Rattus norvegicus: one gene and its partners. The protein of the gene in region 2 binds, or shares a complex with, the protein of the main gene of each other region. Links are inferred from orthologs where the notes say so. Each region holds a gene or a part of one and is shown on either strand. Other genes may lie near its edges.

Evidence for each region. The genes of interacting proteins can lie anywhere in the genome.
Region 1: Taf1a (region 2) and Rrn3 share a complex: the UniProt entries of both Homo sapiens proteins name them as parts of the pol I pre-initiation complex. The link is inferred for Rattus norvegicus from reciprocal best matches to the Homo sapiens genes TAF1A and RRN3.
Region 3: Taf1a (region 2) and Taf1d share a complex: the UniProt entries of both Homo sapiens proteins name them as parts of the transcription factor SL1/TIF-IB complex. The link is inferred for Rattus norvegicus from reciprocal best matches to the Homo sapiens genes TAF1A and TAF1D.

Annotation. Positions count from the first base shown.
Region 1 is NC_086028.1:2,669,496-2,673,525, forward strand, and holds the start of Rrn3 (RNA polymerase I-specific transcription initiation factor RRN3), read right to left. Parts: upstream 2,801-4,030; 5' UTR 2,795-2,800; coding exon 2,712-2,794; intron 1,389-2,711; coding exon 1,283-1,388; intron 1-1,282. UniProt on the Homo sapiens protein: Required for efficient transcription initiation by RNA polymerase I (Pol I). Required for the formation of the competent pre-initiation complex (PIC).
Region 2 is NC_086031.1:97,560,772-97,564,271, reverse strand, and holds part of Taf1a (TATA box-binding protein-associated factor RNA polymerase I subunit A), read right to left. Parts: exon of another isoform or gene 3,370-3,500; coding exon of another isoform or gene 3,337-3,369; intron 3,331-3,336; exon of another isoform or gene 2,989-3,330; intron 1,886-2,988; exon of another isoform or gene 1,882-1,885; 5' UTR 1,872-1,881; coding exon 1,748-1,871; intron 1,418-1,747; exon of another isoform or gene 1,046-1,417; intron 1-1,045. UniProt on the Homo sapiens protein: Component of the transcription factor SL1/TIF-IB complex, which is involved in the assembly of the PIC (pre-initiation complex) during RNA polymerase I-dependent transcription.
Region 3 is NC_086026.1:20,426,814-20,430,775, forward strand, and holds the start of Taf1d (TATA box-binding protein-associated factor RNA polymerase I subunit D), read left to right. Parts: upstream 1-1,162; 5' UTR 1,163-1,209; exon of another isoform or gene 1,210-1,597; intron 1,598-2,530; 5' UTR 2,531-2,551; coding exon 2,552-2,622; intron 2,623-3,348; coding exon 3,349-3,727; intron 3,728-3,962. UniProt on the Homo sapiens protein: Component of the transcription factor SL1/TIF-IB complex, which is involved in the assembly of the PIC (preinitiation complex) during RNA polymerase I-dependent transcription.

The DNA of each region.
Region 1 (4,030 bases), on a different chromosome or scaffold from region 2:
AATTTAGATAGCATCTATTTAAATGTATTGCTCTATGTGGAAATTATAAAACACAACATCTAGAAGAAGCACTTAACAAAACCAAAGATCGCTAACGTATTCTTCTACAGTAAAGCTTAGGTAACTCCTGAAGAGATAAAATGGTACCGGGCAATGGTGTCCATGCCTTTAATCCCAGTACTCGGGAGCCAGAGGCAGGCGGGTCTCTGGCCTAAAAAGAGAATTCCAGAACAGACAGGACTACACAGAGAATCCCTGTCTTGGAGAAGAGAAAGAAGGTGGGGGAAGGGGGATGGTTTAGTAGAGCCAGGCATGGGGTTACACAGTAAGAAGGCAAAGACAGCTAGATCTCTATAAGTTCAAGGCCAGCACAGGCCACAAAGCAGTTCTGGGCCAGCCAGAGCTATACAGGAAGACGCCATCTCAAAAGAATACAAAGCTATTTAATCAGAGTAAGTGTAGTTCCAAGCTTAAGGCAAGAAGACTGGAGTTAGACATCAGACAGGGCTACACAAACGAACAACAGTTACTCTAACTTCTTTAATTTTAGCACTTGCTAGTTTTCAAGATATATACGGCATTTTAAGTCTTAAACCTCACCACACTTGTTTTGGTTACCTTTAAGCTTACAGAATCATGCACATCACTAAATATTCTATTTCACTAAATATTCACTAAATATTTCCCTCCATTCCATCTTTTTAGTCTAGCAGTTCTCAACCTGTGGATGTCTACCCTTTTGGGGACTGAACCCCTTTCACTGGTGTCGCCTAAGACCATCAGACAGCACAGATACTTACATTATAAGTCATAACCATAGCAAAATTACAGTTATGAAGTAGCAAAGAAAATAATTCTATGGTTGGGGGTCACCGCAACATGAGAAACTGTATTAAAAGGGTCAAAGCATTAGGAAAGTTGAGAACCTCTGTTTTAGACAGAGGCTAGTCTCAAACTCAGGGATTCACCTGCTGCCTTCAAATGCTAGGATTAAAGGCACAAGCCACCAAGCCCGGAGTGAAATTTATCTTTAGCCTAAGGACGGAGCTCAACTAGAACTGTTTTCCTGGTGTGGACAAGGTTCTAGTTCCAGTGCCCACCACTGAGAAACGTAAATCATAAATGCACACATAAACACTAAAGTTCACCTTGTTCTGTTACTGCTGTGTTTGTTTGCTTTGGGGGTGTACTCAGGAGGAATGCAAAGTCTTGATAGTTTGCTCTTCAGTATAGCACCCATTAAACCAAACCCTATCAAGGTAAAGCCCAGATCTCCTCATACCTTTTTGTACTTCAGTAAGACGTCTGTCACAGTTCCACCAAACCGAACAGTTTTTCTTGGGGGAGAACTGAAGAAATCACTCTCTAATGCAAGCATGTTTGAAAGCCTGAAGAACCAGGAATACCAGTTGTTAAATTCATGACAGAGAATGACAACAGTAAGCATTACTAAACCAACATCATTTTGTGTGATGAGGTTTAAGTTTCTTAAATGATATATATACCTGCTTCCAACCTTCTCCCCCACGAATCCACTCTTCACTCACTAAAACTGTCTTCTTGCAGCACTTACAATAAGAATTCAAACTCAAACTCCTAATACTTAGAAAGCAACATTTGGGAAGATGAGGCAGACCTAGGCTACAGAGTGAGATCTCAAATTTTATTTTATTTTTTTTAAGAGTAAGGGAAGGGAAAAAATAGAATTAAAAAAAAAAAACCTCTGTATTCCTATATTAACCCTGTAAGATCCTGTTTAACCATCCACCTTTCCTAACTCTGATGTCATGATACAATCGTTTGTTAAAAGTATGATGTCCTTTTTATTCCTCAAACTTGTCAAGCTGGTTCCCATTCCACTTGCTACTCACTGTTAGAAACACCCTTCATACACACACACACACACACACACACACACACACACACACACACACAAGGCTGGAGCTCAAATGTCAGAGGCCTTTTTCACCAGAACCTCTCACACTCACCCTTTATTTATCCTGCTGTAAAGTTGTAGTTCTTCACAGCATTTACTGAAACTATACCTGAAACTATCTTATCCGTTTATTGCCCACCCCCACTTCCCCACCTCCAGTTCTGTTGAGTATGAGAACATTAGTCTCTGGATAAGCTAATGTCCCCAGTGTCTTCTTAACACAGCATGTACATACTTCATAAACAACTATTATTATTCTGTACAAGGTTTACTTTGTTTAGATTAGCTTCCAAATGTTTTATAGGAATAGGCATTTTTAAATGTTAGGCAAAAACAAAAAACCAAAAACCAAAAAAACCAAAAAACCGATTGCTTAGATAATATATGGTAATATATGGTTCCACTATGCTACTGCTCGCTTCTGCAGAAACAAATTTCAAACAAAATTTTGGCGATTCAATAGGTCTCCAGTGACAGCTTTCCCCTGGATATACAAAACCCTGGAAATGCCGTCCACGTCTTAGCCAAGAGAGGGAAGAAAAAAGGAGCGGACGATTTGCCTATAGTCCCAAAAGGGTGCCCCCAAGAGTGAGTGGAAGACAATGGAACAGACAAGACTCGCTAACGCAGCTTCGCCCGGGCAGAGAGGACCAGTGGCTCCTGCGCACTTGGGCCAAGCCCGCACGCCAGGACCCCTCCGAGCCCTAGTCACACCCCGAGCGCTCTCAGCCGGCTCGAGCCCCGCACACGCAGGCGGAGGTCGTCCAGATCTTACCCAGTCCGCGACGCACTCAGCGTGGCAGAGCCCGTAGCCGCCACGTCGCTCGACAAGCGCGTGTGGAGCAGCGGGGCCGCCATTCGGCCTAGGCAGAGAGATCGCTGGGCCTTGCGCCGGAAGCCACGGCCTGCCCGCCCCGGAAGTCGCGCTGGGGGAGCCGAATGCGGCCCATGTGAGCGAGCGGAACGATCGCAGCTAGAAGGCAAGTAGACTTTCGCCTGGCCCTAAGCTGTCTGAAGCTTCCCTAAGAACAGGCGGGCACAGCTAGGCGGGGCCAACAGTGGCCGGGTTTCTCAGAACCGCCTTCAGAAAGAAGCTTGCCATAGTGGTGTGCGCATGTAACCCTGGTACTGGAAGTGGAGGCAGCCAATGGGTAAAATATTAGGGCCTGAGTTACCCAGGTAAAAAGCACAGTTTGATGTTAGTAATGCTGGCACTTGGTGGCTGGATAAATGGCTCAGTGAGTGGTTAAGGGCACCGACTGCTCTTCCAGAGGTCCTGAGTTCAAACCCCGGCAACTACATGGTGACTCACAACCATCTGTAATGAGATCTGATGCCCTCTTCTGGTGTGTCTGAAGACAGCTATAGTGTACTGATATAATAATAATAATAATAATAATAATAATAATAATAATAATAATAATAATAATAATAGTAATAGTAATGCCAGCACTGGAGAGGTAGAGATAAAAGGATCTCTGGGACTCGCTGACCGGCCAACCTTGCCTTTCTGGCAAACACACTGTGCATTGACCTCTGTGAACATTCAAGAACCCACGTGTACATATTTGTTTAAATCAAAGAAATTGTCTTCACGGTGGAGAGATTTGACTGAACAAAATACAAGATCTGTACATTATTTTAGACGCATATTTTAGACCTTACTCTGTGCGAAACACGTATTACACAGTTCTGAGGCAGACCTAGGCTACATGGAGACTGTGGTGAAAAACAGAGGAGAGAGTTAGACGGATATTACCACGGCCAAGGAAACCCAGGCTGGGGGCTGGGCATGGTGGTACACACCTTAGCTGGGCATGGTGGTACACACCACCTTTAATCTCAGCAGAGGAGGGACAGGAAGGCAGATCTCTGAATCTGAGGCTAGTTTAGACTTCTAGGACAGCCAGGGCAATTAAAAAAAAAAGAGCTTGTCTCCAAAACAACAAAAGAGGATCCTGGTTGGATTCCCAGCATTTACATGATGGTTCACAATTGTCTCTGGCTGCAGTCCCCAGTCCCAGGGGTTCTTTTACCTCTGTGAGCACAGCAGGGACACACAGAGATATATACAAAACACCCAAACACATCAAA
Region 2 (3,500 bases):
CTTAGAGAAATTGAAACAGACATAATAGAATTGATGTTAAGTCTTTCTTCCAGAGAAATAAAATTATAGAACAGTCAAACTATGTGGTGTACAACACCTGTAATCCCATCATGGCTGGAGAACTGAGTTACGGTCATGTCCCATCTCAAAACAAACTTTAATACTTACAATGTACAAGATATTAAAAGTATATATGCAGTGATATACACTTACTCAAAAAGGTTTACTCTAAACCTTCTATCTAGCTGAGAGTAGAGGCGCAGGCCTTTGATCTCAGTGCTCAGGAGACAGAAGCAGGTGAGTTTAAGGCCAGCCTCCTCTACAAAGTGAGTTCCAGGACAGCCAGGGCTACAAGAAGAAATCTTGCCTTGAAAAACCAAATTAATTATTAATCAATCAATCAATAAAAGCTTCCATCTATTAAAAATCTTTTTCTCAATTTTTGAAAAGTGGTAACAGAATATGCTACATTTCTATATGATTAAGACTTTACTGGATCTATTTTAAAACTAACAACTTCGGGGTTGGGGATTTAGCTCAGTGGTAGAGCGCTTGCCTAGCAAGCGCAAGGCCCTGGGTTCGGTTCCCAGCTCCGAAAAAAAGAAGAAAAAAACAACTAACAACTTCATTTTAAAAATCCATCATGTGGTGACAATTTTATCATTTGCAACTATTAAACTTAACAATTTATATAACACCTTAAAACTGCCAAGACGATTTGATGAGTACTGTGAGACTCTGCACAGGGGACATGTAAAGGGAACCATGATGAAGACTACACCCCTCATCTGGGCATGGTGACTCATCTGTCACTCCAGCAATCACAAGACGAAAGCAGGAGGACAGCTGCAGATCTGAGGCCAATCTGGTCAGGGTAGCAGGTTCCAGGCTTGTCAGGGCTGGTCATCCTGACTTGATGGGGCTGTGGGCGGGAAGGAGTCTGCAGCACAGACTGGGTACTTCCTGGACCATTTAAAGCAAACTCTAACCCCCCCGGGATCCTCACTCAGCCTTGCTCACGTGCTCCCAGCAGGACTGGAATTACCTGAAAGCTAATTAGAAATGAAGACCACTTCGCTTCAGCTGGCTCCCTGAAGCAGACTCTGTAATTAACCAGAGCTCCACAAGCTGCTCAGACCACCAACGATCCCAGGCAACCAGCCCAGAAACTGGCAAAATGTCTGCTCAAATAAATAGCCTTTATTGGCCTAATGGAAGACTACACTCTCATCATCATCATCATCGTCGTCGTCGTCATCATCGTCATCGTCATCATCCTCATCCTCATCCTCATCATCATTGTTGTCGTCATCATCATCATCATCCTCATCCTCATCATCGTCATCATCCTCCTCATCCTAATCATCATTGTCATCATCATCATCCTCATCACTTATAATTTTCTTTTTGTTGACAGCTGTATGAAAGAAAAGGAAAAGCCTCCCATCTGATCTCAAAAGATAAACAGACATCAAGGTTCACACTTGTAATCCCAGTGCTTTGAGGCTGAGGCAAGAGACCAACCATGAGTTCTAAACCAGCCTGAACTACATAAGTGAGTCCAAGGCAAACCAGAGACAAAGAGCAAGACCCTGTTTCAACAACAACAAATTAAGATAAAATAATAAAATAAGATGAAAAGGGGAATAAAGAGAAGAAGGAACTGGCTTGGGTATTCCTTCTGCGCCTGTGTTCACCCCTGGCACTTCATGGCGGTAAAGTGAAAGGTTTCAATGTTGTTACTTACCCACTGCTTCTATATGCTTCTGAAGCCATGGGAAATGCATTCTTGTCTTAGAGAACTCTGACGTTTCTGGGTTATCCTCAGCCCCAGCAAGCTTTGTCAGTTCTTCACTGAAGTCACTCATCATCTATTCCAAACTGAGAGTGTCAGTTAGTTTCAGGGTGCTAATCCACAGGCAGCTGAACTGTACAGAAAGCTAGACTTTTCGTCTAATAAGTGTCATTTGAGTAGTAACTCATTGTACCTGTCAGGTGTCTTGCTTTTTTAAGTATGCATTGAATCTATGTCAGAAACAGCTGACACTAAAGTTCCAGTCAAGAACACTTGCTGTTTCTCAAGAGGACCTGGGTTGGGTTCCCAGCACCCATATACCAGTTCAGAGCTTTCTGGAACCCCACTTCCAGGGCAACCAACAACCTCCTCAAGAGTCATAGAGTAGTGTGCAGATACGAGGCAAACGCTCACACACAGAAGATAAAATAAAAATCATTTTTAAAACCCATTTTAAAAAAGGATACCTTACCATACAGCTATGTATCAAGTGCATACAAAAACGACACATCCTTAATTACAAAGTAAAAAGCTCAAGCCACAGAAACAAACTGAAGAATGCATGCAACAGGGCAAGTGCAGTAATAGCAGTAGCTAGGATTTATCGGAACTTAACCACATAACTAGCCCGTGCGTTATCTAACTTAACCACAGCAGCAACCTTATTTCCTTCCACGTTAGGACTGGGAAAAGGTGAAGACAAGAATCTGGGAAATGCAGAGTACACGCAGACTAGCCGGTATGAAAAACGCAAGGGGGTGGGCAGGGGGGCCACGGCAAAGAAATGACTCTACAAAAGCAGCCATATGCCACTGGGCTTGGGTTTAGCTGTCAAAATGCTCAAGACCCTTGTCCTGCGTATCTATCAAATACTGAAGCTTCTGTTACTACAAATTCCACCAATGTCCCTCCTTTCTGCAATCCTACGTTATCCTAGTTCTGTACAGCCTCAGCTTTTTTTGTTTTGTTTTGTTTTCCGCGGTGCTGGAGATCGAACCTGGAGCCTGCTCACAAAAGATATCGTGTCTCTCTCTGTCTGTGTCTGTCTGTCTGTCTGTCTGTCTCTCTCTCTCTCTCTCTCTCTCTCTCAACATTACACTTTTATTGTTAGGGGAAGGCACCGCGCACACGTGGAGGTCAGAGACTAAATTAGAGGGGTCCTTCTACCAGTTAGATCCGAGGATCGAACTCACCCGGCTTGACAGTAGTCACCATTAACTGCTGAGCCATCTCCCAAGACTTGGTCAGCCTCAAATTTTGTTTCTCAGCCTTAAAATCAGCTTAAGCTTTTAAAAAACCATTCCGCGAAAAAAGCTTGAAATAACACCTGAATTAGAAATCGACGCACCGCATACGGTAAGGAGACTTAAAGCAAATCTTTCCTTGGCCCTCAAAGATTCAAACTGGCTTGGTGGAGGTTGGCGTGGTGGTGGTTGCCACGGTAACCAAGTTAGCAGTCCTAGTAACTAATGGTCTCAGAACCCAAGAGCACGGAAAGTCAAGAGGAAACCGCAGAAGGAACAAACAGGGGTCTCACACACCTTTTCCGGTTTCACTGAAAGCGCAGGGCACATGGACGCCGCAAACGGCCAAACCCAAGCTCCTGAGACGCCGGTCTCCACGTTGTTCACTGTCTGAGAAAACCCTCTCCGGAAGCAGTTAGCGAGCGCTTCCTGTGAGCTTACGCGAAACCAGCCTGGAGCAC
Region 3 (3,962 bases), on a different chromosome or scaffold from region 2:
TTATTACACAGAAGAGGAAACAACATTTACTCAAGGCGTTCAGTTACTAATTGGCAGAAACAGATTTCAAAAGCAGATTCAAGCCAGGCATGGTGGTGCACAAGTTCAGTTCCAGCACTGGAGGCAGAGGCAGGGGCAGAGGGGTGCAGAGGTAAGAGGTTCTCTGTGAGTTTAAGGCCAGCCTGGCTTATGTATCAGGTTCTTGGACACACAGAAGAGAGACGTGTCAAACAACAGCAGAATGCACTCTATCCCAAGCTGATTCAGCGGTGAAGAAACAGCCCCTCAGCTGACCAAGGGAGAGTTCAGATAGATCCTGCAGCACCTATGATATGAGAACTGACCATGCTTCAGCTTCATTTTCCTCCTACACCGGATGTCTTCTCTCCTCCAAGTATGCCACACACAGTAGGTAGTTTATTAGCTAATTATTAAGTATTTATGATATACCAGGCTTTTATGATATACTAAACTAGCAGGGTTCAAGCACAAAGGCTGGCTCTACAGCTTTGCAAATAGTACAGTCAGCCGCATAGGATCCTATATTCATAAAGATCTAACCACACACACAGGCTTTTGTTTGCTTTTTTGTTTTGTTTTGTTTTTCTCGGTGGTGCCATGCACACTAGGCAAGGTCTCTATAATCCAGTTTTATCTCTAGGCCAACGACTTTACATTAGAAATGCGTTTGTCTGTGAGAACTTATGGGACAGTGAAGTATGAGCATGTACGCCCTCTCATCAGACCTTGTCACCCACTGAATAAGGTGTTTGTAATCTTCCGTTAGAACTTAAGTCCACAGAGTGTCCGTGTTGCAGGATCCTACAGACTGTTGGCAAACTGTACAAGGAACGAAAAGTAGAAGTGAGGCAAGTGAGTACAAAGCTACACTACACAAATACATAGCACAGGCTACCCTTAGTCTGACAGTGAACTCTGCGTGCTCACCACAAGTCGATGCTCACCTGACCCGCAGTGTCTTGGAGGAATGCCTTGCTTGCACTCAGGAGCACAGGTTCACTCTCCTGCTTCTATTTTCTGATAGCTTCAGGCCAAGGGAAGAGCCGGGTACCGCCCCTCCCGGAGGCCCGCCCATCACAGAGTCCGCACGCATAACCACGCCCACGGACGTGCCCTCACGCGAGATTTCATCCTAGTCCTAGTCAGGCTGCTGGGCGCGAGAGCGCTCTTTTCGGCGCGGCGAAAGAGGTAAACGGTTGTTCGTCTGGGGTGCTCCGGTCTACGGCGGCCGACCGGGCGGGGTCGCCGGGACCGCGGGGACCATGGGGGCCGCAGGGCGGGCTCCTTAGGCGGCTGTCCGCCCGGAAACGGCGCTCTCGTAGGCCTAGGAGCAGCGGAGCGGGCCAGGCTCCGGCCTTCCGCAGACCGCGCGAGGCTCGGAGTCGCTGTTGGGAGAGGCCGAGGTGTTCTGGGCCTGGAAGGCGTTTTTAGTGTCTTTAAGCGGTCGTGTGCTGCCTGCCCACATATCTTACGTGCTTAAGTAAGGGTCTTGTCAGCCGGCCCACGGCACAGGTTGGACTCAGCTCACCACGTGGCCTCCAAAGCTTGCAGTCGCGAATTTGAAAGGAGCATTCAGGTAGGAGTGGTTCCTAGATAGGGTTCTACAGTGATTATCTTCGGATCTATCCACAGGTGTATAGTGGGTGCAAAAAGGCCAACCTGAAATTTCAGTTTTGATGGGTTAATTTAAAAAGGCAGTTCATGCAGTGGGTATTTTGCAATCTAAGGACATAATCACCTGTTTTTCTTAGCCTTGAAAACTGTGATTAGTTTAGTTCTAGGATTTGTGTAGCCTAAGTTAACTTTTGAAGTTTTTTTCTCCTTAGCACAAGTGGCCCTCTTACCTACTTCTTACTTTTACACACGTGCATGCAGTGCTCACAGCCCACAAGAGGGATATCGACTCTCTTAGGAATGGTTACAGCTATTTTTAAGCTGCCATGTGGGTGCTGCGAGTCTAATCTTAAGACCATTGAAGAGCTCTTAGTCCATTGGCAGTACTCTTAACTACTAGGCCATCTTTCCAACCCTAATCTAAAGGTTCTTGTACACGCTGTTAGTATCCCAACTACCCGAACTGATGCTTATTTTAGTGTCTAGTGGGCAGCCCAGATTGGAATTAGAAATGCTATATTACTATGTGAGGCTATGTGGTGGTTAAAGCAAAGTGGGCAGATTTTTAGAGAGAAAACAAACTACATTGGAATGTGGTTTGCTTCCACATTCTGTGGAATGTATGCTATGTGTGTGAGTACTCTGGAAGGCAAAGTGCCGTAGCCTCATGGAGCTGGAGTGAACTGCTTACAATCGTAAGCAACCCGTTGTGGGAACTGAAATCTGGAAAAGCAGAGGAGCTCTGCTTAGCTCACTTAAGGGCTTCAAAAGTAGATCTGAAATGTAGGATCCATAGGGATTTTTACAGAAACTGACATAGTGGTAAGGAGTGTGTTGAACTTTCTATTAGAATGCTGTGTATGTGAAGGGGCATCATTGAAATTTGTAATTGCAGAAAACTGGGTAAAGCAAAGTGATGGCTCAATCAGAGGTGGATTCTGTTGACTGTGTGACATCGGATAGAGATGGGGACATTGGAAATCAAAGGTAGGTAAACTATAGATTCAGTCCAAATGTTCAATTTATTTTGAGGAGGGTCTCAATAAATAGAGCCATGGCTGACCTCACCCAGATAATCCTGCCTATCTACCTCCCAAGAGTTGGGATTAAAGGCATGTCACCACACCCTGCAGTCCAGCATATTTGAGTGCTGGGGAGTTTTATTTGTATTGCTTGTCCATAAAACATGGAAAAGCTGAAGATTAACATATTATTAGCTTGACTAATCGTTAAAAAAACTGTCTTGTGGGGCTGGAGAGACGGCTCAGCGGTTAAGAGCACTGACTGCTCTTCCAGAGGTCCTGAGTTCAATTCCCAGCAACCACATGGTGGCTCACAACCATCTGTAATGGGATCTGATGCCCTCTTCTGGTGTGTCTGAAGACAGCTACAGTGTGTTCATATGCATAAAATAAATAAATCTTTTTAAAAAACTGTCTTGTTTTATATAAAATAGTAAGGACACGGTGGTTAACTGGTACTGAGTTCATTCTGAAATGCTGGGTATGATTTTAGGGGATTGTACTTGGAACATGTACTTTTAACATGTTTTTTAGAGTGGATTGCGTGTCTATTCTGGTGCTCTTAGGTGTGGGAGCTGTGAAACTGAAGGGATGCATGATTGTGAGCTGCCTGGGAGAATGGCCTTGCCACTCCTGGGGGATTAATTATATCTAGTGGTAATTCAGTAATGCAATTTAACTTTTGTTTTAGTGATGACTCATCCAATAGCAGCTTATTTAAAACACAGTGTGTTCCTTCACCTACAAGAAAGCAAAGAATCCCTACTGTGAAATGTGTTCCTTCACTTGCAAGTGTTGAAACAGATTCATCAAGTGACTCTTCTCTAGAACCAAGGCCTTTGACTTTAAAGGCTATTTTTGAAAGATTTAAGAAAAAGAAAAGGAAAAAGAGGAAAAAGAGAAAATATAAGCCAAAGTTAAGACGACAAGGAAGACCATCTGGAACGAGGAACATTAGAAGGTCACAAATAGATGCAAAACAAATTAAAGACAAAGGAGCTGTGTTTCCATTCTTAGAATCTGAAAGTGGAAGAAAGACTTTACCTTGGAAGAAAATTTTAACATATGAGGTGAGTGATTTTTTTTTTTAATGTAGGTGAATACATTAAGTAGGATGGAATGGTTTGTTGGTCATTCTTTTTTCTTTTAAAAGATTGATTATATATAAATACACTGTAGCTGTCTTCAGACACCAGAAGGCATAGGATCCCCATTTCAGATGGTTGTGAGCCACCATGTGGTTGCTGGAATTTGAACTCAGGACCTCTGGAAGAGCAGTCAGTGCTCTTAACCACTGAACCGTCT